Linked DNA regions of Danio rerio. The protein of the gene in region 2 interacts with the protein of the main gene of each other region in a pairwise test. Links are inferred from orthologs where the notes say so. Each region holds a gene or a part of one and is shown on either strand. Other genes may lie near its edges.

The links.
Region 1: the proteins of nup58 (region 2) and mis18a interact in binary tests that used the Homo sapiens proteins (3 or more experiments, as listed by UniProt). The link is inferred for Danio rerio from reciprocal best matches to the Homo sapiens genes NUP58 and MIS18A.

The regions. Positions count from the first base shown.
Region 1 is NC_133185.1:38,595,817-38,600,247, forward strand, and holds the start of mis18a (protein Mis18-alpha), read left to right. Parts: upstream 1-1,454; 5' UTR 1,455-1,500; coding exon 1,501-1,708; intron 1,709-1,983; coding exon 1,984-2,050; intron 2,051-3,149; coding exon 3,150-3,272; intron 3,273-3,381; coding exon 3,382-3,484; intron 3,485-4,431. Other genes in the region: eva1c (protein eva-1 homolog C), read right to left, coding at 516-630. UniProt on the Homo sapiens protein: Required for recruitment of CENPA to centromeres and normal chromosome segregation during mitosis.
Region 2 is NC_133199.1:28,988,463-28,992,888, forward strand, and holds the start of nup58 (nucleoporin p58/p45), read right to left. Parts: upstream 2,993-4,426; 5' UTR 2,749-2,992; coding exon 2,654-2,748; intron 1,333-2,653; coding exon 1,169-1,332; intron 1,054-1,168; coding exon of another isoform or gene 1,051-1,053; coding exon 1,021-1,050; intron 9-1,020; coding exon 1-8. UniProt on the Homo sapiens protein: Component of the nuclear pore complex, a complex required for the trafficking across the nuclear membrane.

The DNA.
Region 1 (4,431 bases), on a different chromosome or scaffold from region 2:
TCTATCTATCTATCTATCTATCTATCTATCTGCCTGTATGTCTGTTTCTGTTTCTGTCTGTCTGTCTGTATCTGTGTATCTGTCTGTACGTCTGTCTATCAATATGTTAGTCTTTCTGTGTCTGTCTGTCTATGTATGTCTGTCAGGAATATTTAAAAGAAGAATGATTTGATGAGATTTTGACTTGACATAGACATTAAAATATGGGTTGGAGTGCAGCCCTAAAATACGAATTAAATGTCAAAAATTACTTGGGTTTCTGCAATTGTCAGGATGAAGCATTTAATTAGGCTATTTAAAGAAAAAAAAACCTAATACAATATAATATTACTTTTTATAACAGATCAGAGAAGTAATTTAATTTTGGATGAATACAGGCTACATAAATGACAGTGACATTTAATTTTGACAGGTTGTTTGGAAAAAATTAGACACTAATATAATATGCGTTCTCTGTATATGTAAAACTAATCTTGTACATTTATGAAACCTTCATGAATAGGTACTTGACTTACTTGAGAAATCCGAGAGTCCGTCCATTTCTTTGGTCCACAGTATGAGTACACTGTAAAGTATTTGAAGACAGAGCCCAGGTGCACGGCAGCTTCTCAGGTGCTGCGCTGAGATCATAGTAACAGTCTGCAATTATTTCTGCATCAAATCCGCGTGCATTCAAGCGCGTGCTGGAGAAACGCTCGCTGTCACAAACTCCCGTGTTCCTCTCCCACCTGCGGTTACTCTCACCCGGCTAAAGTATGTCTTCATACCGCGACTCGGACATCCCAGTCCTCAAGAGCCAAAGCGAACTCCTCGGTAGCCTTTCTCCTATAATTAAAATACAGTCAGAAGATTTAAGGCGGAAAGAAAACATTTGTAAGCGACGCAGTCATTGTGTTGAAGCCTGAAATGGGGAAATAGCAAGTGCGCAACAAGTCAGTGGTACCTGAAACCGGCGACTTTGCATTGTTATTCGGTTGTTGATGGCTTTGTGGTCACCGGTGAGACTTCTTATGGTACCAGGACGTGTTTTGACACCCAGAAAGTGATTTTTGAGTAGGATGAATAAAAATTTTGGACGGGGCGTGGCGGTAAATGCCTCAAATAGGCAGTGGGTAGGAGTTGAGAGGCACGGGTTTGGATTTTATAACCAATCTGATCAAAGTGTGTATTTTTTATATTTATTAAATAATCATTTATTGATTTAATAATTAATCAATTGAATAGTCAACAAACCATTTGCTTTCTGAAGCAAAACTTTATAAAGTCAACAACATTTAATTTAAAATATGTAATAAGTCAATAATATAGCCATATGTTTGCTTGTCTTGTTTTGAAAGTATTGTATTACATATGTGTTTGTGAGTTCGGTTAGATTAAGACGTTTAGAATGAAGTGAAAGTGTTTCTCCGGTGCAGCAGATGGCGCTGCGTGGTGGTCAACTTAGCTGCGAGTTCACAGAAGAACTGCTCCCGCGTACGTTTGAAAACACTGGGGTTTCAGATGGCTGGCAAAATTAAAATCCCCGATGAATGTAGCCATAAAACATACTCTGTTTGCGAGAGTTCCGCTGACAGCAGGAGTAGAGTGGAGGAAGATGGAGAAAGCGACGGTCCAGCGGTGTTTATGTGCGGCAAATGCAAGCTGCCAATCGGAGACAGTCTGTCCTGGGCTGGGAGCGATGATGAGAACAACCAAATCATGCTCAAACGTAACTATTCTTCCATTCAATTGTGTTATTTATGTAAAATACTAGTTATAACCATGTTTTGATCAAACATACTAGTTTTGTTTTGTTAAATAATTTCAAAATGTTATCTGTAGTCTGATGGAAATAATAAAAACAGTAATATTTGTATACACTTGTTTCAATTCTGAAGTTGTTTTACATTTAGATGTATATTAATTCATGACACTGTAACACACAGAGTTTAGCAGTAATATGTCTTAAAGCTTATATCTTGACTTTTACATGTGGATTTTTAGGGATTACTGACAACATTGTTGTAGGCAAAGAGCCATTTGTTTCTGGGACCCGAAAGGAGCTTGGATGGTGAGGATGAATTTTTCATAATTTACTGTCTCACACACACATCTTTGTGTTTGTTATATATACACAAAAGAGCAAGTGATTTATGTTATTTTGGTTTTTATTTTCTGACAAATTAATATGAAGTTTTAAAATGACAATTGAATAATACTCTTTTTTTGTGGCTGCATGTATTTATATCCTACCTTAATTCATAAAATTTGTAGGAAAGTATTACAGCATATTTAAAGAAGTTGGTACAAATTTTTCTGGCAAAAATATGTTTTTTTGCACTGTTTGGAATTTAGTTCATAATGAAAATGTCATAGTCATTGTTTGCTATTAAAGAAAAAGTAAAATTGGACTGGACATGCAAAAAAATCAACAATCCCCCACACATTCTAATGTCATGGAAAAAAATTACATTTTACTGCACTGTAAAAAGCAATTAGTTAACTTTTCTTTTAAAATAGTGAGTAAACCCTTTTCTGTTTAAAGTGATTGACTTTATTTTAAAAACTATGTTAATTCATTGGCTCAAATTAAGGTAAATAAACTATATTCATGGGCGTCACATTGACGCAGTGGGTAGCATGATCGCCTCACAACAAGAAGGTCACTGGTTTGAGCCTTGGCTGGGTCAGTTGGCATTTCTTTGTGGAGTTTGCATGTTCTCCCCGTGTTGGCATGGGTTTGCTCTTGGTGCTCCTTTTTCCAAAGTCCAAAGACATGCATTATAGGTAAATTGTTTAGGCTAAATTGTCAGTACTCTATGTGTGTGAATGAGTGTGTATGGATGTTTCCTAGTGATGGGTTGCAGCTGGAAGGGCATCCGCAGTGTAAAACATATGCTGGATAAGTTGGTGGTTCATTCTGCTGTGGCGACCCCTGATTAAAAAATAGACTAAGCCAAAGAAAAATGAATGAATGATCTGTTCATAATTATAAAGATTAAGTCAATTCAGTAGATCCAAGCTAAAACAGGTTTAATCACTATTTTTAAGAAAATTCTTTAAGGCAACAGGTTTACTCGCATTGTCTAGTCAAGTAACTAGTCACTTTTTACAGTGTATACCTTCATTGTTTAGATCAGCATCTGTGTAAATTTGTCTCTCGCATTCAGCCTTGTTGTGAATCTCACCTGCCGTGGCTGTTGCTCAGAATTAGGAGTCATGTACATATCAACCCCGAAAAAGCTGGATTGCAAGAGATCCCTTTTCTGCTTTAATGTGGAAAATATTGAAAGGTACATAACCTGTTGCACATGAGCTTGTATTGTTTTTATTTTTGTTAATTTCTAGATTTTTTTTTATTTGTGTTAATTCATGTGTATCATGTCTCGATTATGTATCTAGCTATGTAGTGGGAAGTCCAGGCCAGCAAATGCCAGAATTAGACAGAGAAGACAAACCAGTGACCCTGGAGTACCAGGACACTGTGCATCAGCAGATGACAGAGGTAAAGCAGTTCATCTGTTTAAATTATTGATATGTGAGCATGATGCAAACCAACGTAAATCGCCTTCTCTGCTCTCAAATAAGCAATTTCGTTATCATTGCATGTGGAGACATTTTTGGATTGGACAAGTTGCATCAAGTTGCATTTTTGTAAAAATTGCAGCGTGTTTTGTTACTTTGTTTGCACTGTGGGAAAATGTAGTGGGTTTTTTTATGTCTATGCATTGTAAGGATTTGCAGCACGTGTGCTGTTAAACCGATGAAGATCTTTTCTTAATTTTTGTGTTTTGTAATTGCATGTGTTTCTTAAATTGTAGCACGTTAAGCTCTCTTGGCCACCATAAAACATTTTAATAACATGAATAAATTTTAGCTAAGAGATAAAACGCTTTATTTTTAGGAGTCCTTTTTACGTATGTTTTTTGTAATACTATAGCAATTAGAATTAATTATGCATAAATTCATGCAACTAACCCTATCCATATAGTAAGTACATGTCATTAATGTTACTCATTAGCTAAATAAATAGTTAAATGGTAACAAGGACATCTTCAAAAAAAGTTTAACTTGGTTACGCTGCAAAAATCTTCTAATAAAATGTATTATATGAATCAAAACATGGAACATTCAAAGGAATGATATTATATATGTACACTAATAACTATACATTGTCATGCATTTCAACAAATTGAACTAAGTTTCTTGAGGATGTGTTGAGTATTTTTGAGAATTAGTTAAACTATAGTTTATCTACAAAATATCGAAATAATAACAACGAAAAAATTAGCTGATACACTGAACTGGTTTATACAGAACTGTTGGATTTATCTAGAGCATTTATGGCAAGTATATTATGAGTGAGTGTAATTAAAATATGAAAAAATTAACAGTTACTTCTAAGTGTATAAGTAATTAAATTGCAGTAACCAGTTACTTAGTAAGTCATCA
Region 2 (4,426 bases):
AAGACTCCCTATGAACAGGCAAAAAGACAAGAGTTTTGAATTGGCTTTCAGATAAGCTGAATTCAGGGCAAAACAAAATCAAAAAGTATTTTATAAATATACATATTTATATAATTATTTAAATATTTACATTTATATAAATATTTATAAATACTTCTCTATTATACCAATAGAAAGACATCAACGGCAGTAAATAACACATAATAGTGTCTTCAAAATATTGGAATTCGTAACGGAAATGTAAAAAAAGTCTATTTTCCTTTAACATTTGGGCTTGTTCTTACAACAACGCTGATTTGCCATTGGGTTCACGAGCTCAACAGAAATGACTGTGATTGGCCGTGAAGGTCATCAGTTCACTAAATTCGCTGTTGTTTACTGAGTGTGACCACAGATACAGGGACACTGAAGAATTTTAAAGCCATAAAGATCGCTCGTATGCCAGCTTAAAACAAACCAGCTGCTATTTGCGGCTTTACACTCAGTGTTTACACTCAGTAAACAGCAATGAGTTCGGTGAACTGATGACCTTTACAGCCGATCATAGTCATTTCTGTTGAGCACAGATAAACACAATGGCAAATCAGCGCTGTTTAAGAATGCGCTCAAATGTGAAAGGGAGGTTTTTTAAATTTCAGTACTGATTGGTATCAAATTACAGTAATACAGTGTGATAACACTAATACATAAAATAAAATCCTAAATCTTATTACCCATTTATGTAATTTGAGACCATGTAAAATAATTATAAATTAGTCCAAACAACTGTTAAAGCATTATAAAACAACAAAACAAGACAAAAGAAAGAATCAGAGTCTAGGAAAACCTGGTTAAGTGAGGTAAAGTCATTTTAAACATGTAAATTCATTAAATCTTAAAACTCTGTTCACATTAAAAAAATGTTCAAAGATGGGATGTCCCATCTTGGTTTCTTGCACCAAATAAAAATTGCAAAAGCTTATAACCATTTGAACTAAACAGGACAATCAAATGAAAGTTAAATTGTTTTTTATTGCTTACCTAACGAAAGGCCACTTGTGGATGCAGCAGCTGCTGAAAATGTTATCAGATGATAAATCAAAAATGAGAATTAACCACAACAATTTTATTATTACTCTATCAAAATGCTAAATTAAGGAGTGTTTTCGACATAAGAGCAGTCAGGAACCTGAGGCAGGTGTACTCAAGCTGAATCCAGTTGTTGGTTTCTGTGCAAATAAACTGGTCCCAAATCCCAATGTGGAGGTGGTACTGGTGGTGGCGGGTGCCGGTGTGGAGGTCTGTGCCCCGAAACCTCCAAATGAGAATCCACCTGTGCCTGCAGCAGGTGTGCTGGAATAGACATTAAAAACATGAAACAAATATATATTACTAAAATTATTATATAACAATACAGAAAAATATCTGAACCTTAAAACAATAAACAATTCACTAACAACACACAAATATACATTTTACACTGCTATTTTCATTTGTAACACTTTTTGAATCTTGTTTAAATACAATATGAACAGCAGCTATGCTAATCATTTTCTTAAGTCTCTATTTCCACCTAAGGATACTAATTTTGAGGCCCCTAGAGATTATGCAGCGTCATTAATGCCATTCAAGACATGTGAAGAGATGATCCCAAGGTATCCATAATCCTGGACCGGGCCATATCCCGAGCTGATGCCATGGATAATGAATGGAGTGCATGAGACTGATCTCTGAAAAACCAGTGAGAAACGAGTTCCCGAATTGATCCTGTGGGGTAGCCTGACCTCCCGCTGGTGTCCTACTCACACCTGCAGCTTCTCCAGTCTCGAGGTCCACACAGGAAGTTTGGCCAAAAGAATAATAGTCATGCCCAATAGGTCCTGGTTTCTCTCAAGGTTCTCTCCCCCCCTCACTTCGTCAATTGGTGAGGTTTTTTTCCTCGCCACTGTGGCCACTGGCTAGCTTGGTTTGAGACTTGTGCTTCGGTGGATTTGCTTCACAGTGTTTGAACTTTCAGCAGTGAAATTTAAACCACACTGAACTAAAATAAACTTAAACTCTGAAAACTGGACATTGCTAGAACTATGTTAAGCTGCTCTGACACAATCTACATTGTAGAAAACACTGTATATAAATAAACATGAATTGATTTTTAAATTGTGGACAATAGTGTGCACTTTTGTCAAACACTGAAAGTGAATTGAATCTTAAATTCTACAAAAAAATGACAATACCAAATTAGGCTTTAATTACCAACACACATTTAGTTAATACTTAGGTAACCATTGAAAGAGCTAAAGTGAAACAAAAAAGCCAGAAATACAACGCAATGTTACGAACCAATAACTTCAGGCTATGATGTTGAGCTAGTTTTTAGACTTATTAAAACAAAACGCAACATTAAACATGTACACATATGCAGCACCTATATAGTAAATAACTGTAGGTTAACTATGTTTATATATAACTTTAACAGTTAAAAGCTATTATTTACTGGTTAATTAGTTAAAGTTAATAGTAACAAATAAAATTATGGTAACTAATAACCTTAACTTTTCTGAATGTAATCGTAATGCAATAATATGCGCTTTTTGTGGAGCTGCTTTGAAACAATAATTATTGTGAAAAGCGTCGACTTGTACAAAAAAAACATTAATTGAATTCGTCCTCATACCTGGTCGCAGCTCCAAATGAAAACCCTCCTCCTCCAGCTGCTGCTGGTGCTCCGGTGGTCCCGAGGGTAGTTGTGCCGAAGTTAAAGCTAGACATTCTGGACTTAAATCTGCAAAACTTGACAATCAGAATCAAGCGGGTGTGACCTCGTGGAGGCCCGAAACACACTGCTTACGACATAAGGTGCAAAATAAAAGCAGCTGCCGCGAAATTCTGGACGGTATGAAGAAAATTTGAACGAACAACTTTAAACGACGAAACAGGGGTCTAATTCAGTGTTTTTAAAATAACTAAAATCCGTTTCAAGGCATTGAAAATATTGCAGCTCAATGCTTTGCGCGCACAATGTCCTCTTCGTCTGTTTCCTCTCTGTAAAATTCAAACATTGTTTGTTCATCCACATTGCCACCTACAGGTTTGGAAGGTCCATGCCATGTTCCAAGTTCACATCTCTCTCTCTCTCTCTCTCTCTCTCTCTCTCTCTCTCTCTCTCTCTCTCTCTCTCTCTCTCTCTCTCATAATTTTTTTTGCCTTTCAAAAACATAATAATTTAGGCCAAACTCAATTCCAACATAATCTTTCACAAACTGACTGAGACATGTCGATGGAGGACGAAACCTGCAAAAACAATAAATCAATAAATACGCAAATATATCAATAAATGAGTAAATAAATCCGGAAATTCCTGCATAAATAAATCAATAAATAAACAAACATGCAAAAAAATGAAAAAATACATGTATAAAATCCACAAATACCTGCATAAATAAATATATTTAATATAAAATAATGAATAGTGCTGACAAGTAAATAATTGCATAAATTACACGAATGTTGGAGGAATAAAAAAGATGCAACAAGTTGATTTATTACCCCCCTTTCAACCTTTATACAGGTCAACATGGTAATGAGAGGCTGTCTGTCATTCATCAGAAGCCAGTAAAAAAAATCAAATGCAAAATTTTTCTAATGATCAACCAATGATGGCATAAAGACCACCTTCTAATGAATGACAGACAGCCTCTCTAAATACTGAATAAAGGTTTTAAAAAAGGGGGTATCAACTTTTCGATATTGCATTTTTTTTATTCCTCCAACATTCGTGTTATTTTATTTTATTATTTACCAGCCCACATTATTATTATTTACATATTTAATCATACAGGAATTTGTGAATTTTATAAAAAGATAAATTTTTTTATTTGCATATTTATTTATTTATCGATTTATTTTAAGTAGGATTTTCTTAATTAATTTTTCTCATTTATTGATATATATGCATATTTATGTATTTATGTATTGCTTTTGCAGGTTTCGTCCACCATACATGTCAGATATACATTAATTTAAATATAAAGCCATCACATAAACAAAACAAACAAACAAACAAACAAACAAAATTTATATTAAATAACTTAACAAAAAAATAATCAACATACTGCGCAGACATCAAACTAAAACTTGGTGAGGGTTTAAATAAAACCATATTCTTGAAACAAATCATACATTATGCCTATTTTATTTTACCCTTCTTACCCTTCATTATTCTGAAAGCGTCAGGTGGCAAACTCCTTTTTAAAGATAATCAACTGAGGAGCTGTTTTCAAAAGTGTGCAACTATGAATGAAGAATTTAATTAAAAGAAGTTAACAATTTGCAGTTAAGTCATCATTTTTGTTGTTCAAATGTAGTCCAAAATTTACAATGTCCCAACAAATAGAAGGAAACATTGAAATATATTGTATCCAGTTGCCTACATCAAACCAGAGAGGAT